Drosophila melanogaster: one gene and its partner. The protein of the gene in region 2 purifies or fractionates together with the protein of the main gene of each other region. This does not show direct contact. Each region holds a gene or a part of one and is shown on either strand. Other genes may lie near its edges.

The links.
Region 1: the proteins of Prosalpha4 (region 2) and CG10638 purify together in Drosophila melanogaster (affinity purification with mass spectrometry, with the first as the bait; one large-scale study listed by BioGRID). This does not show direct contact.

Annotation. Positions count from the first base shown.
Region 1 is NT_037436.4:12,495,514-12,504,068, reverse strand, and holds CG10638 (uncharacterized protein), read left to right. Parts: upstream 1-2,757; 5' UTR 2,758-2,832; coding exon 2,833-2,904; intron 2,905-3,026; coding exon of another isoform or gene 3,027-3,194; intron 3,195-3,268; coding exon of another isoform or gene 3,269-3,438; intron 3,439-3,514; coding exon of another isoform or gene 3,515-3,857; exon of another isoform or gene 3,858-3,868; intron 3,869-3,916; coding exon of another isoform or gene 3,917-4,096; exon of another isoform or gene 4,097-4,268; intron 4,269-4,299; exon of another isoform or gene 4,300-4,467; intron 4,468-4,580; coding exon 4,581-4,748; intron 4,749-4,804; coding exon 4,805-5,320; intron 5,321-5,381; coding exon 5,382-5,579; 3' UTR 5,580-5,963; downstream 5,964-8,555. Other genes in the region: CG10646 (uncharacterized protein), read left to right, coding at 242-412, 464-1,444; CG10681 (uncharacterized protein), read right to left, coding at 1,594-2,065, 2,122-2,288; CG10657 (uncharacterized protein), read left to right, coding at 7,059-7,059.
Region 2 is NC_004354.4:16,273,021-16,279,674, reverse strand, and holds Prosalpha4 (proteasome alpha4 subunit), read right to left. Parts: upstream 3,406-6,654; 5' UTR 3,258-3,405; coding exon 3,156-3,257; intron 3,079-3,155; coding exon 2,849-3,078; intron 2,784-2,848; coding exon 2,366-2,783; 3' UTR 2,088-2,365; downstream 1-2,087. Other genes in the region: Mfe2 (peroxisomal multifunctional enzyme type 2), read right to left, coding at 6,063-6,654; kat80 (katanin 80), read left to right, coding at 4,109-4,142, 4,984-5,111, 5,174-5,391. UniProt on the Drosophila melanogaster protein: The proteasome is a multicatalytic proteinase complex which is characterized by its ability to cleave peptides with Arg, Phe, Tyr, Leu, and Glu adjacent to the leaving group at neutral or slightly basic pH.

The sequences.
Region 1 (8,555 bases), on a different chromosome or scaffold from region 2:
ATACCAATATTATTTATTTTATATTTTGAGCTTAATATATTAAATCACATATATTTAAGCCTCTTTATATATGTAAATATTTTAATTTTATTAAAATAAATTATATATTGTTTTGTAATATGATCGAGGGCTGCCACCTTGTGATAAATGCTTACCAACACTTTTAGGTACGCCGTTTAGTGTACGTAAGTTGCGTACCTAGATATCCAGCGAAATCAAAACATTGAGTAAATCGTGGAAAATGGATGAAAATAGCTTAATCTACGGACTCGAACTGCAGGCGCGGGCTTTAACACCTCAGTACGGAGAGAGCAACGATGTGTGCTTCTTCATAGCCACCAACTCCTTGAAGCCCACCAATCAGGTTCACTTAATCCAGTACGAGGAGGAGCAGGGATCCGTGCAATCAAAGGTGAATATCTGGGATGATCAAAGTATGAGCTAAACATACAACTTTGAACAGGTCTTTGAGCACGCCCTGGGTGAAGTTTGGAAACTAAATAGTTGTCCGCGTAATCCTCGCCTGCTGGCCTCCGTCTACAATGTACAAAAGGGAGCACAAGTGCTGACCAAAGCGGCTCTGTTTACGCTGCCCGAGAATCTCAATCCCGATCCGGAGCAGCTGAAGTCAGAGTACCTGCCGTGGGAGCAGGTTGAGGTCCTGGATACCGAAGCACTGGGCGAACGTGTGAAGACCATCGAATTCCATCCCAACCAGGACACACTCGCCTGTGTGGTGGACAACAAGGTGGCTGTGATGCAGCGGGCCGAGTCCTCTACTCGCGTGGTGGCCGAGGTGCCGGCCAGTGGTTCATCCAGTGGATCTGCAAAGCACACACAGCATTTCACCAGCGGCAAGTGGTCGCATCATCATCAGGGCCACCAGTTTCTCACCCTCCAGGATGGCAATCTAAGTGCCTACGATGTGCGGGATACACAGCATTGTGCCTGGAGCATCAACGATGCGCATGGTCAAATGGTCCGTGACCTGGACTGCAATCCCAACAAGCAGTGCCATTTGGTCACCGGCGGTGACGATGGCTACTTGAGGATCTGGGACTGTCGCATGCCCAAGGCTCCCGTTTTCGAGCGCTCCGATCATTCGCATTGGGTCTGGTGCGTTCGCTTCAACACATTCCACGACCAACTGATCCTCTCCAGCTCCAGTGACTGCAAGGTGCTGCTCACGTGTGCGGGATCGGTTAGTTCGGAGACGCAGGTTCAGGCTGGACTAGATGAGTCCAACTTCAGTGGTGCCGATGCCGAGGAGAGGCACAAACTCTTGCCAGATGGTCTGCTGCAGACCTTCGATCAGCACGAGGACTCCGTTTACTGCGCGGAGTGGAGCAATGTGGATCCGTGGATCTTTGCTTCGCTCAGCTACGATGGTCGCGTCATAATCTCAAAGGTGCCCAAGCAGTACAAGTACCAGATTATATTTTAAGCCATTAGTTTCTTAAATTATTACGCATATTTCATTTAAATCTAACTAAACGAATTGTGTCCTTGTATGTAGTAGCAGGTTATACAAATATTAAACCAATAAGTTATTATATGAAGATAAATATATCGAGGGACTAAAGCTAATTAGGCTTAACCTGTATCCTCGGATGTGCAGTCGGAGGAATCATTGGGATTGGCAGTTTCCACGGAACAAACTCGCTTGATCAGCTCGTTTTCGATCTCCACAGTGCCATTGTCCACTGCCTCCTCCATCTGCACGTACTCTATGGTGGCGGCACTTTTCTTGGTGGATAGGACAGGTTTTGCGGCAGCAGGAGCAGGTGTTTCTGCAGTCTTTTTAGCCTGGGCTTCCGTATCATCCTCGGCTTCCTCAGCCAAACTGCTACGCTGCGGCTGAACTTCGGCGTAAATGGCGGGAAACTGCGACTGTAGCTTCTGCTTGATGATCCGTATCTTGCGGAATATGTAATCCAGATCCTTCTTCATTTCGCTCAGGCATTTCACGTGTCTTTTGAAATCCTCGCTGGCACTTTTCAAACGACTCTGCGATAAGGCATTGCAGTTGAGCAGCATCTCGTTGGTTTTCTCAAAGCGTTGCAGCCTGTGGGATATATTTTGGATGTTTATTATAATCTCTGGTTAAATGAAATGGCTTACATTTGCTTTTGAGCCCGTATCATGGTCTCCACATCGCCCTGATTCACCATTCCTGCGAGACTTTGAATGAAGGCCTCGGCGGCGGAGTTGCCGAAGCCAGTGAAGGATTCCAGGTCAGGAGTGGCATCCTCGGACTGGTGCACATCCGCAAGGCCCAAGTGGCTCATTGTAGCCTAGAATTTATTTGTTTATAATAAGGGAGAACACAAAAATTGATTTGTTTACTTGCTTTTCAAGGTCTCAAGGTTTCTTTGCGACAACTTGAACTCTGCTTTGTGTGCGTTTGCTGGCAGTTTTAGTTTTTTCTATTTTTATTTACGTTTTCAAATGGATCTCATGTTTCCATCTATTTTAAAAGTTCTTTTGTTTAGATTTCTTAAAAAAAAAGATATTTTCGTAACAGCTGTTTAAGTACTAGTTATAAACCAGTGCTGCAAGCTGCCAAAATGCAAAAGCACTGCCGTAATTAAATTTGAACATTTTACTTTTTAACATAAAATTAACACTGTTTTATGACAACATTTGTTCCTATTTAATATAAATCAAAGTTTCTTTAGCTATTTAAACACTTAAAAATATTTAAATAATAAAGCTTAGCAGAATGGCATTGGGTATTTTTACGCAAAGCCGTTTTGGTCACACTATGCTCACCGGCTTTTTTTTTATTAAGCGATTGAATTTCCTTATTTATTCTTGATTTAAACGTGCAAAATGAAGCTCGCTCCGACTGTTAAGCTAAACAATGGCTACGAGATGCCAATTCTGGGCCTAGGAACCTACAATGTAAGTCCTTATCATCGGCGATGCTAATAAATCAGCAGGCAGAAATTGTTTATGGAAATTTCTACCATTCAATTCCAATTAAGTGCAATTGTGAAATTGAAAGTTAATTATGTTATCTGTAGTTAAAGAAGTCTCGCTGTGAGGCTGCCGTGTGCCACGCCCTCGAAATGGGCTATCGGCATATAGACACCGCATATCTGTACAGGAATGAAGGCATTATAGGCAAGGTTTTAGCTAAACTTATTGGCGACCAGAAACTGAAACGCGAACAGGTGTTTCTGGTCACAAAGGTAGGATATAGTACAGATGGGTTATATATAGTTACCAGCACATGTAAATAGATCGAAAATCAATATCCAATTAGCTGTGGGACATATACCACGAACCCAAGATGGTGAAATACGCCTGTGATATGCAATTAAAGCTACTGGGCGTGGACTATATAGATCTATATCTGATGCATTCGCCGGTGGGCGTGGACTACATCTCTGATGAAGATCTGATGCCCCACGAGAATGGCCAGCTGAGGACCAAGTGAGTTTGGGATACAACTAAACATACATAGTTTAGATTCAAGAAGCTTAAAGAAACTGATCTTTGGAACTTATAGCGATGTGGACTATGTGGACACCTACAGAAGTATGGAGCAACTGGTGCATCTGGGGCTGGTGCGCAGCTTGGGATTGTCCAACTTTAATGCCAATCAGCTGAAGAGATTACTGGAAAACTGCCAAATCAAGCCGGCAAACCTACAAATAGAATGTCATCCGGAATTGGTGCAAGTCCCATTAATTGAGCTCTGTAAATTTCACAATATCACCGTGGTTGCCTATTCGCCACTGGGGCGTCCCAAAGCCTGCAATCCGCTGCCCGATTACTACACTGATTCCAAGCTACTGGCGTTGGCAGCGAAATACGGCAAGACACCAGCTCAAATCATCCTAAGATACTTGGTATAAACGACCTTAGAATTGTAAAGTGATAAAGATATTTATTGGCTAAAAATCTACAGATCGATATTGGCACGGTACCTATTCCAAAAGCTGCCCAGCGAGCCCATCTCGTAGAGAATCTGGATATATTTGATTTCCACCTAACGCCGGAGGAGTTGCTCCAAATGAAGACCTTTAATACAGGGCGCAGAATCTGGAAATTCGATAAAGCGAAGAATCATCAGTACTATCCGTACTAGCAAGAGATATTTAGTGTTCGGAAAAAAAGTGTAACTATGTAAATGTATAAGATAGAATCTCGTTAGATAGTTTAGTTTTTACGTTAGTTTTTTTTTAGTACAATATTACAATGTTATAAAATGTCATCATATCAATCGTTATCATATATAAATATACTATATTTTGTGCTAGATATGATCCTATTAACATTTTAAGTGCTCACCTGGGGAAATAATTATTTGTATCTCTCTAAATGTCTCTATCAAAGTTTATCGAATCTTTCGTGTGCCTTGCGACGTTGATCAGTTGTATAATTTCGGATATTGTTTCGATTTGTCAATTCGCGGCTCTCCGATATGCTCACAATTTCCTGGCCGAAACGAACGTGTTGCTGTGGTCGAAAATAACAATATACTGATCTCAAGAGTCGCATTATAAAACACATATTTGATTCTGTCAGAAAGGAGAAAGGTTAATGATGAATTTGATATTCTCTATTTGCAGTCGAAGGACAACGAAGGCGAAGCCGCTGTGAAACATGCGATTGATGTGGGCTATCGTCATATAGATACGGCCTATTTCTACCAAAACGAGGCCGAAGTGGGCAAGGCGATTCGGGACAAGATCGCAGAAGGTGTGGTCAAGCGAGAGGATATATTTTTGGTCACTAAGGTAAATGCCATGATGATATGTTCTAGATCTATCAATAAGATTATATTTTTGCGCAGCTTTGGAACATTTTCCACGATCCAGAGCGCGTTGAGGGCATTTGCCGCAAGCAGTTAAGCAATTTTGGCTTGGACTATATCGATCTGTATCTGATGCATATGCCAGTGGGCTACAAATATGTAGATGACAACACCCTGCTGCCCAAAAATGAGGACGATGTGCTCCAACTGAGCGATGTCGACTATCTGGATACGTACAAAGCCATGGAAAAGCTGGTAAAACTGGGCCTGGTGCGCAGCATCGGAGTATCCAACTTCAACAGCGAGCAGCTGGCACGAGTTTTGGCCAACTGCGAGATCAAACCCGTCACTAACCAGGTGGAGTGCTCGCCTGCGCTCAACCAGAAGGCTTTGACAGCCTTCTGCAAGAAGAACGACGTCACCTTGACGGGCTACACGCCTTTGGGAAAGCCCAAGCCGGATATTCAGAAGCCGGACTTTATCTATTCGCCGGAGGTGGCTGTTATTGCCAAAAAATATGGCAAGACTACACCGCAGATTGTGCTGCGTTACCTGGTAATTGAGGCATCAACCTGACCTCAGCGACAGCATCTAATTAAAATCTCTCTTTTCGCAGGTTGGTCTGGGTGTCATTCCCATTCCAAAGTCATCGAATACTAACCGAATTTCTGAGAACTTCGATATCTTCGATTTTGAGCTGACAGCCGAGGAAATGGCCGTTCTCGATGGTTATCACACTGGCGAACGGGTGGTGCCATTAAATTTGATTAAGGGCCTCAACCACAAGTACTACCCCTTTTCAATTGAGTTTTAAACCAGATGAGCGCCTTGTTGCTGTATCACGAATATAATGTAATAAATTTGTCATTACATCAATCTCTATGACAACAAATTGAATGCACGAATGTATCTGCATACTTATTCCAAACCCAAATCCAACACAAAGCTCTTAGTGCCTTGATGTTCTCCATGAAATCCGTCCAGTTGCCAACGATCCGATCCGCACCCCACCGTGGAACTTATTCCCAGAAATGAGGAGCAAATGGAAGCATCGATCTTTGGCACGGCACGTTTGACATCCAAGCTAAAAGGTGAAAATGTTTGAATAAGACCGAAATATTAAGTATTAAGCTTTTACGACCAATGGTAATGCGAAGTGCTCAAACTTGGAGATCACCAATGGAGATTCAAATTTAAGTTACATGTGGAAAAAACTGTATACCTGCATTATTTCAATCATTTCAATAGTTGTTCAGCTTAGACATTGATTAATGAACTAGTGATATTTTTAGAAGGTGCTTCAAGCTTTTCTACAGTAACTTTAGATATAGAAAATAGAAAAAAGTTTAGTAAGTAAATAAGACGTAAAAAAGCATATGGATTTAAGATGGATATGTGATTTAAAAAACGTTCTTTTAGAAGAACTTGTGCTGATTGCCAGCTGTTAGCCTAAATTGCTACATCAATTTTAAGGACGCATTTTTTGTTTGCCAACATTCTCTTATCAATGGATCTTCTATTCTGATGTATGGCCAAAAAATATCACGCGGAAGCTATTAGTTGCGCCAACCGCAGAAATGAAGCATGAAAGTATTATGGCTATTAGTTGATGTACCTATTACGCCCGACAGGCTAATTATCTTTGGATTGTTGGGTACATTTTGGGTTAATCGCGCCGCCGTAGACCTTTGTAAATAGCACCTCGGCCTGTGGGGTGACGTCAGAGCCAGCCAAGATGAGCACGGGCTGAATGAAATTGGGGTCGTCTAGCCTTTGAGCTGCCCCAAAATAGTGCATGGATGAGTGAATTAAATAGCGGACCGGACTTGGACTTACGTGCTGCTCCACGAGTCGATTAGAGGAGAATCTGTGGCATGCGCCACCTTGACCCAGGCCAAGAATAACATAACCCACCAAAACCACTTTCCATGCTGCAGATGGGTATCTCCTAGCTGGGATCGGATGCTCACTAAGTGCTCCACTGAGCCTCTTAGCCTCTCCACTCCAACCAAAATTCCACTCAAGCGTTTGAGTGAGTGAATTGCGGCCGAGAGCGTGAGGTTTAAATAAATTTTCAGTCAAAAAATTGGCAGTTTCGCTCCAAGCGTGCCCACGTTCACATCGTCGCCAGTTCAGTTGCGGAACTCATACACGGATATATATACACATATATTCCGGCGATCAATTAGAGCCCCGGAATTCAGCCACATCCCTCCCCTGCGACGCGTCCAAATATTGTTATATAAGTTTAACAACTTGTGAAATCCACGCAGTGCCAGTGCGTAAGACCAAAAGTGAGTTGAGCTGAGAATTACAACCCCCCCCCCCCCCCCCACATATACCATCTATTTGGTTGCAAAACCAAAAAGGATCGAATCGTGCATTATGTAAAGGCCCGAGAAAAGCGAGGTGGCGGGGAAAAACTTTCGCTTTCACCCAAGTACAGCTGGCTGCAGCTGCTGCGCATGCGCAGATACATTCGCAGATTGCTACTGTTTGCCGGGGATAAACCAGCCACACTATCGACTTGAATAAATCAGGTTCCCAAATAAGATACATTTGTACTTTTTGAGCCAGAAAAGATAGATTCTTAGAATGATACTATAGTTGGTAAATATATAAAATTATAGATATGATATATGAGCTATTTTTAAAGGATTTTTTCATAGGCTCTTTTCATAGTAAGCTATTAAAATGTTTTCTAAAATCTTTGCGCAATAATATTTCAATTTAAAATGTAAATAATAATAATATTTTTAGTTATATTTCGCTAGCTCCTTGAATTTCTCCCAGTGTAGCACTTGCACACCTTTGTTGATTGCTCTAAACTAGGTGCGTGGGTGTAGCCAAACTAAAATCGTATAGTTTTTTGTTTAGAGCCTTTTAATTGTGCTTTATTGACCCACTGCAAGTGCTTCGCTCTAGTCAATTATTTAAAGGCCAATAGTTAGCAGCTCTTCGAGAGTTTTGTAATTCTGTTTGCTGGCTTAATTGCCCAGCCAGACCACAAGAGGCCCGGGCGCACAAGGTCTTCTCGGCCGACAGCCGAAGTTGGCCAATACCGTAAAAGCCAAGTTGGTCGGTTATGTTGTTTGGTTGGAAAACGTACTCAATGCAATGCAATTTGTGCGGTTCGCATATAAATATTCATGGCAAGTGGCTATTGTGCAATTGCCAGGGACAAAGCCATCGACGTGACGGTTTCCTTTGACCAACAGCCACGACCTCGTCGGTAATTCTGGGTGCCATATGTCTAGTGAGTTGGATGGCCAGTTTTCCAGTTACAAGTGCAGTGGAATGGAGTTTTAACTCCATAACGCTACCTTGACCAACCGACTGGAATGGGCCACAAAAGCCTTGGGTGGCGAACGTGGTTAGCCTGGCTAATGAATTCCGCCCTGTAATCAGTGCCATTAGATTCTGACACACATGAATATAAAGCGCTACTCATCCGGGGAACATTAGCGAACTATTGTCGTAATTGTGGCAAAATGCAATCTGCATGATAATCCGGAAAGGCAGATGCAAATCGCCGCCAAATCGTAAACTCAACTGTTTGCCCATTCGAAATACGAAATTGAGTCAAAGCAAACACATATTGGCAATGTGCACGGTCATGGGGTGGGATTGGGCAAGTGCACGGTGAGAAATTAGGGGGTTACTTGCGCGAAAAAGCCTTGCTCTTGAATCTGACTTAGGTAGTAGATAATGAAAAACACAAGTCATTTGATGATTAAGTGTTAACTGTTGTGCCAAACAAAATGTATTTTATAGTGAGATTCAACTAAGA
Region 2 (6,654 bases):
ACGTATATGTATATGCATGGGATAAGGTAAGGGGGTCAAAATAAGTCAATAAGATCGCCGTGTTAAGCCAATGTCTTAAAATACAGGGCCGGAGCGAGAGGGTGGCTAAGTTTTTAATTTGATCAAAGGCAATTTTAAATCGGAATTATGCTGTATCCACTAAATTTTATTACAATTGAAACTGTTTTGGGGGGTGACGCCCCAAAATGACCCCGCCGACTCCGCTCCTGGAGCCAGGGAATGCACCCACACTCGCGCACAAATAAATAGGGCGTAAAATGCTAATCTTGTGAATACGTGAATGTACATACATGTGTATGTACATACTCCACGCAAATCAAGTGTACATTATGTACATGCGAACGTATGTAAGATCGGAAATCAGGTGAAAAGCCCAGGGCCCAATAGCACAGGTGGGGGCGGGCGCGTTAGCACGGGACATTTGCTTTAATATTAACATGTTTTCTGTTTCGCACTTTCTTCATTTTTTCATCTTTATTTTGGTTTTTTAGCCAGGCCAAAAGTTTACGCATACAGTGGCAATGTGTGTAGTACGTGCAAGGGTACAACTGCATGTGTGTGCATAGTAGGTGGGATTAGGGCTCATCTGCACGGGCTAAGTTTCCCTTATATCCCGTTATACTACTCGAATTCTGTAAACTTAAATGTTGTGAATGAAACTAAAATATAAATAAGCTACATTACTTTGCCAGTCACATTATAGACCTCTTTTAAGCCTCAAAAGCGGCGATTCCATGCGGAATTTAGGTCGTGCGAAGGGGCCTTAAGCGCGTTCTGGGTTAAGAACCCCCGCCCACGACCCCCTTACCACAACGACCCATCCCACAATCCGAGCATCCTTTTTCCTGAACCCGGTGCGATATTTGTTGGTTGATTCGAAGGATTCCCATACCAGATTTTGATTCCGATTCGGTGGTTCTGAATTCAGATAGTGATTCGATTGGATTCGATTTCATTCGACTGGATTTGATTCGTGTTTCGCATGCAATTTGAGTTTTGAAAACGACAAACAAGGTAAAATAATAATAAAATGTGTACCAATATGTCAAGCGTCAACGAATGCAAACGCACACTGAGGTGAATTGTTAGTTGTCTACACACGTTACCTTCGGGTATTGATTGTTTTTTAAAAGAAAACACAAAAAAAAAGCCGCGAAAATCACACAACCAGATTATCGATTTTGGCCCCCGCTGAAATTGGCGCACACAACACACAAATTTGACTGGGGAACGAACAGCGGGCGATGCAAACGATTCGGTTCCGACTTGGAATATATAGCTGCCGAACTATCGGTGCAACAATCGGATCGCTCAACCGGTCGCTCCATCTGCAGGGAATACCAAAACGCCTCAGTTAAGTGGCGCGCGAATGAAGGTACTTGCGCTTAGCCACCAGCTGGGCACACTGCACGAGCCTGCATAGAGTTTTTTACGAAATTATCACAATTTAGGAGTTTTCCAATTAGAATTGGAATAAGTTCGTACTCTTAACTTGCTAACAAGTTGATTTTTAATGCAAAACTTTTCGCAGACAACTTTTCGACAAGAACAGTGCTGCCAGACTGTCAGACCGGCACCTTACTGGCGTGTTTTTATCACATTTTCTAATATTTCCAAGCTATTGAAATATTCCAAAGCTTTCTATCTGCACATTCTTTTTATATAGGTGTTCCCAGAAAATCGCCTTAGCATGGAGAGTCGTGCTAATACGGCGTTGCCAGACTGTCATTGCATTTCTTGTTGCTCTTTGCAAGAGCCCGCCAAATGAAATTTTTATTTGAATACAATTTATTTTTTTCTTCCCCCGTTCTTTTGCTTGTATAATATCCCAACTGGAAAATGTGTACTTTTCAATTACGAAACATGTACAATATATAGCAATAAAGTCCAGTAAAATCGTGGTATGTTTACAATTACTTTTTTGGGCCTGATGATACGTTGCCATTAAAGTGCAATGTCATACCACTAATGTAAGTTTTTTAACCCTTTATACCCCCCAATAGCTTGCCCATAATCCTCCCGTGAACAATCTTGAATCCCAAATGCAAGAACAAAGTTCGAATATTCAACAGGAGCTCCGCCTAATGTATGATGACGCATGTATTTTATACAGATCAAATATTTTCATACCGTTTTACAGGGTTCCGAAGAATAGAAAGTGGTAATTAAAAAAAGTATGCATTCGGTTCACCGAATTCAATTTGAATCGTTTTCCAAGTCAAATCAGGTTGGCTACAATGAGCAGACAGAATGTGGGCGGCGACACCAGATAGTGTCGCCGAATGCATGGAAAGCGATTCAATGCAACGGCCTTCCATCGAAGAAGTGTCCCAGCTGCTGGGTGTTACTTTTTCTGTTTCTTCTTCTCGAGCTCCTCCTCCTTCTCCTTCTCGATGATCTTAACATAATCGGTAATGACATCGGTGTCCAGCATTTTCAGTGGCTTGCCGTTCTCCATGATGGCCACCTCCAGATTGTTCTGGCCTGACTGCGCCACCTCGAGCAGCGCACGGATGGCCAGTTTGACGGCTCCGTGCTCGTTGGCCACCTCCTCCTCGCGGTAGGACTTCTCGAAGAACTCGCGCACAACCTTTGCCGATCGCCCGGTGGCGTTAGCCTTATACTCGTAGAAAATGCCCGACGGCTCAGTCTGGAACAGATGCGCAGAGCCATCGGCATCGAAGCCGCCAATAAGGCAGGAAATACCGAAGGGACGGCGGCCATTGCTCTGCGTGTATTTTTGTTTCAGCTGGGCAATGAATCTAAAATGAAAGGCCAAAACCATATAGAAGCTAATTTAGAGCGCAACTATTTCACAAATCCTCACCTGGTTATGTACTCGAGGGTCACGGGATCCTCGACATTGAGACGATGGCTCTGGCACTCCACCTGGGCACGATTGATCATGATGCGAGCGTCGGCCGTGAGACCGGCAAAAGCCATTACAACGTGGTTGTCGAGCATGCAAATCTTGCGCACCTTTCGATCCTCCTGCAGTTGGGCCACCGACTTCTTCTCCACGCCAAGCACAACGCAGTTGGCGCCGCGAACTCCGACCTGCGAGGCGAAAAATTGGAAAAGTCCATGTTTGTTTCGGTTTGGCGGCACTGCGAACGGTACTAAATTGCACTTACCGCAGTCGATCCCTTGCGAACGGCCTCCTGGGCATACTCCACCTGCAGGAGGTGACCGTCGGGAGAGAATATGGTTACAGCACGATCGTAGCGTGAGGACATCTTGTTGCTTTATTCAATAGCTGAGGTACTTGCAGAATATTAACTTATAGCTTTTTCCTTCTCGAATTCGCCAGGCAATGATGATGCTTTTTTGAGGAAATGCCGCAGTGTGACCGCAGCATGGGTTCGATGAAAATTACTAAATTAATACCGTTTCGCAGTGAACGATATATCGTTGCTGAAATCATGTATCAGAATCAATTCAATTCTTGTTACTTCAGTCTATTTAATATTCTATTCCATTTAGTCTATTTAAATATTTAATTTAATACTTTTGTAAACCGTTTTACAGCTTCAGGGCTGTAAATAATTTAGTAAAATATCAATTAATTTTTTTTCACATTATCTGTTATTATTGTTATTTAATAATACAAATTTATAATACAAATTATTTTCAATATATATATATATATATGTATTAATAATTATAACCAACGACTGTTACTTAAATGTACAAAATGCAATCGCTATGCCGGCCCTGGTAATCGGTGTTCATCGACAGCTTGCTGCAGCCCTCGTCGTCGCTGTAATTACAATGTGATGTGCATTTGTTTTTGTTAATAAGAATTGTCCGATTAAACATTTAGATTATCTGTTTTTAAACAATGCGATCACGGTGATATCGGTTCGTAAAGGTTTTACACACCGTGTGATTTTGTTTCAGTGCGTTTTGTTGTTCGTTTCGTAAATAAGTGGGCTTCATTTTGCCCAAAAAAGACGGGAGCCCAGACAGCTGATCACAGACTTTGGCTCACACCTGCTACAAAAAGATAATATTTATTCGAAAACCTGGCATTCGGATCGAATTTAGCAGCTGCCAGCGTATTTATATAAGAACAATTTGATTGATTATGGCGCTGCCCAGAAAACTGATATCCAAGATCTGTAAGTAAACCGAATGTTCGAAAGTACCGTTGTATATTCCCACACACACACAAGCACGTAGAAATACGACTGCATGTATATATGTGTGTGTGCGTGCGTGTTTGAAATCCTATCGTAAATTCTAGTGTTGCATGCAACTTCAGTAACTTTTAAAACAATACCACGCGTTCTTATAAACAATGCAGATATCCAATAGGAAAATCCCCAGGTGCACATATGTATGTATGTAGATACATATGAACATTGAGTGCAGCTGCAGCTGAATTGTTCGTTTTAAAGTAATTAATATCTTGTTTTACAACGCAATATCAATATCAAATAAACATCATACGGCTTCTTCAGACTTTAAAATAATATTTGTATATAGCCTTTAGAAAACTTCAATTCAATCCCAAGAACTATAGAAGTTCAAAAAGGTTTTAATCTGGGAACAAGTTTTCAATTTCTTTGAAATGCGTACATTTACGTACATATGTATGTACATATATACTGTACATATGTATGTATGTACATCGATTTCCTAGCTTTATTTTATCTGTTTTGCTTTTCAAAATACTAGTAATCCTTGTCATTCATAAATGTGGATAACGTAAAAGGTACTTATTTATTTATATCGACACAGTTTCCTTTGAAAAGATTCAAAAATCATTATAAAATTGTATTTATTGAGTATATACTAATACGAAAATATCATATTTTTATTATTATATATTTGTTGTAAGTTTTCCTTTTGATCTTGAAAAGCTGTTGTTTAAAGCATAGCTTAATCTGAACATACTAACTATATCATCATATCATGAAAACTTGCCGAAGAGGACTAACCAATTCTCATCCTTTGCAGACGATATAAAGGCACATGATAGCAGGGTCACGAGCCTTGATCTTGGCGAAACTGGACGAGTGCTGGTCACCGGAGGAGAGGATCGCAATGTGAACCTCTGGGCGATTGGTCAAAATGAGTGCTTTATGGTGAATATACTAACTACTTCCTAAATATATGTATGTACTAATCGGTGACCCTTTCCTTTCAGTCTCTGACGGGCCACAATCGTTCCATCGATTGCGTGCGTTTTGCTTATAAGGATAACTTTGTCTACTCCGCCGACGACATCGGTATAATCCGAAGATGGGATCTGAATTCACAGAAAATCTACTCCACGCTAAATGGCCACATGAAGAGTGTTCGCACTCTGGACTTTAACCCGTCTGGAGAATATGTGGTGTCCGGGAGCAATGATACCACCGTCAGGTGAGCCAAGGACCGATATATAAATAGTCAGAGTAACCCATGAGTCATTCGGAAGCTCTAGTTTCCTTATCAAGTGGCAGATTTAAAGTTTATTCGTTGATTGAAAAGGGATGGCGATATTCTCCCTCCCTCTTTTAGCTGTGCTTAATCCTATAGAATCGCGTATTTTGGGTTTAATAATCTACACAAAAGAAAAATCTCATATTTAGAAATTAGAAATTTTATATCGGTTTAATGCACATACATATTAGATGCATTGTATCTATATGGTCTTTTCTTAGATATCACTTGACCTATATATGTGTAAAACAAAGATAATATGACTCACTACATTGCACAAAAGGGGACAGGCTGACAAAGATAATATCACTTTGTGTTGTTTAGCTAAAGTTGATATTTCTTTTGGGATCTCATATATCTTATCTCTCAGATCTATTACATCCATGATCTTAAACAACATTGCATTTTCAGTTATGTGATGTTTTATTGGGAGTTTTATAAAAGTGTTACAAAAAAATACTTCTACCACCACGGGCGTTTAAACAATTGCATATGTATAGGCATATTTGTTATAGTGTATGTACAAAAAAAAACGGACGCGAAACGAATTATAAAGTCAATGATAATCCATTGCGACTAAGGCAGACTATGTGTCTCTAGGTGATCCGCGCTTACAGCTTGGCCTGTGAGCTCTTCAGGTCGACATAGGCGCCGGATATGACCTCCTTGCCGGTCTCCACGACCACGGTGCGGAAGTTGATGCGTGTGCCCTGCTTCCACAAGTCCACGCGCAAAGTCTGGCCCGGAATTACGGGTCCGGAGAAGCGCACTTTGACAGCCTTGAACAGAGCCGGGTTGTTGTCCGCAAACTGAGCGAGCACGGCGCGCACCGAGAAGCCCAGTGTGCAGAGTCCATGGAGGATGGGTGTCTTGAAGCCGGCCAGCAGGGCCATCTGGGGATCGATATGCAGGGGGTTCTTGTCGCCGGACAGACGGTACAGCGCCGCCTGGTCCTCGCTGGTCGTATACTGGACGGTTGCGTCCGGTTGGCGATTGGGCGCCGGCTGCAGCGGAACTACACCAGCGATGGGATCCTTCTTGCCTCCGAATTTGCCAGCGCCGACAATGAAAGTGGTGCTCTGGTTGCGCACCAACAGGCGGCCACTTTCGTCGAACGACTCGCTATTGGTGACGACCACGGCGCCGGATCCCTTGTCCATAACATCGAAGACCTTGCCGTTGGTCAGCAAAGTGCCACTGGTG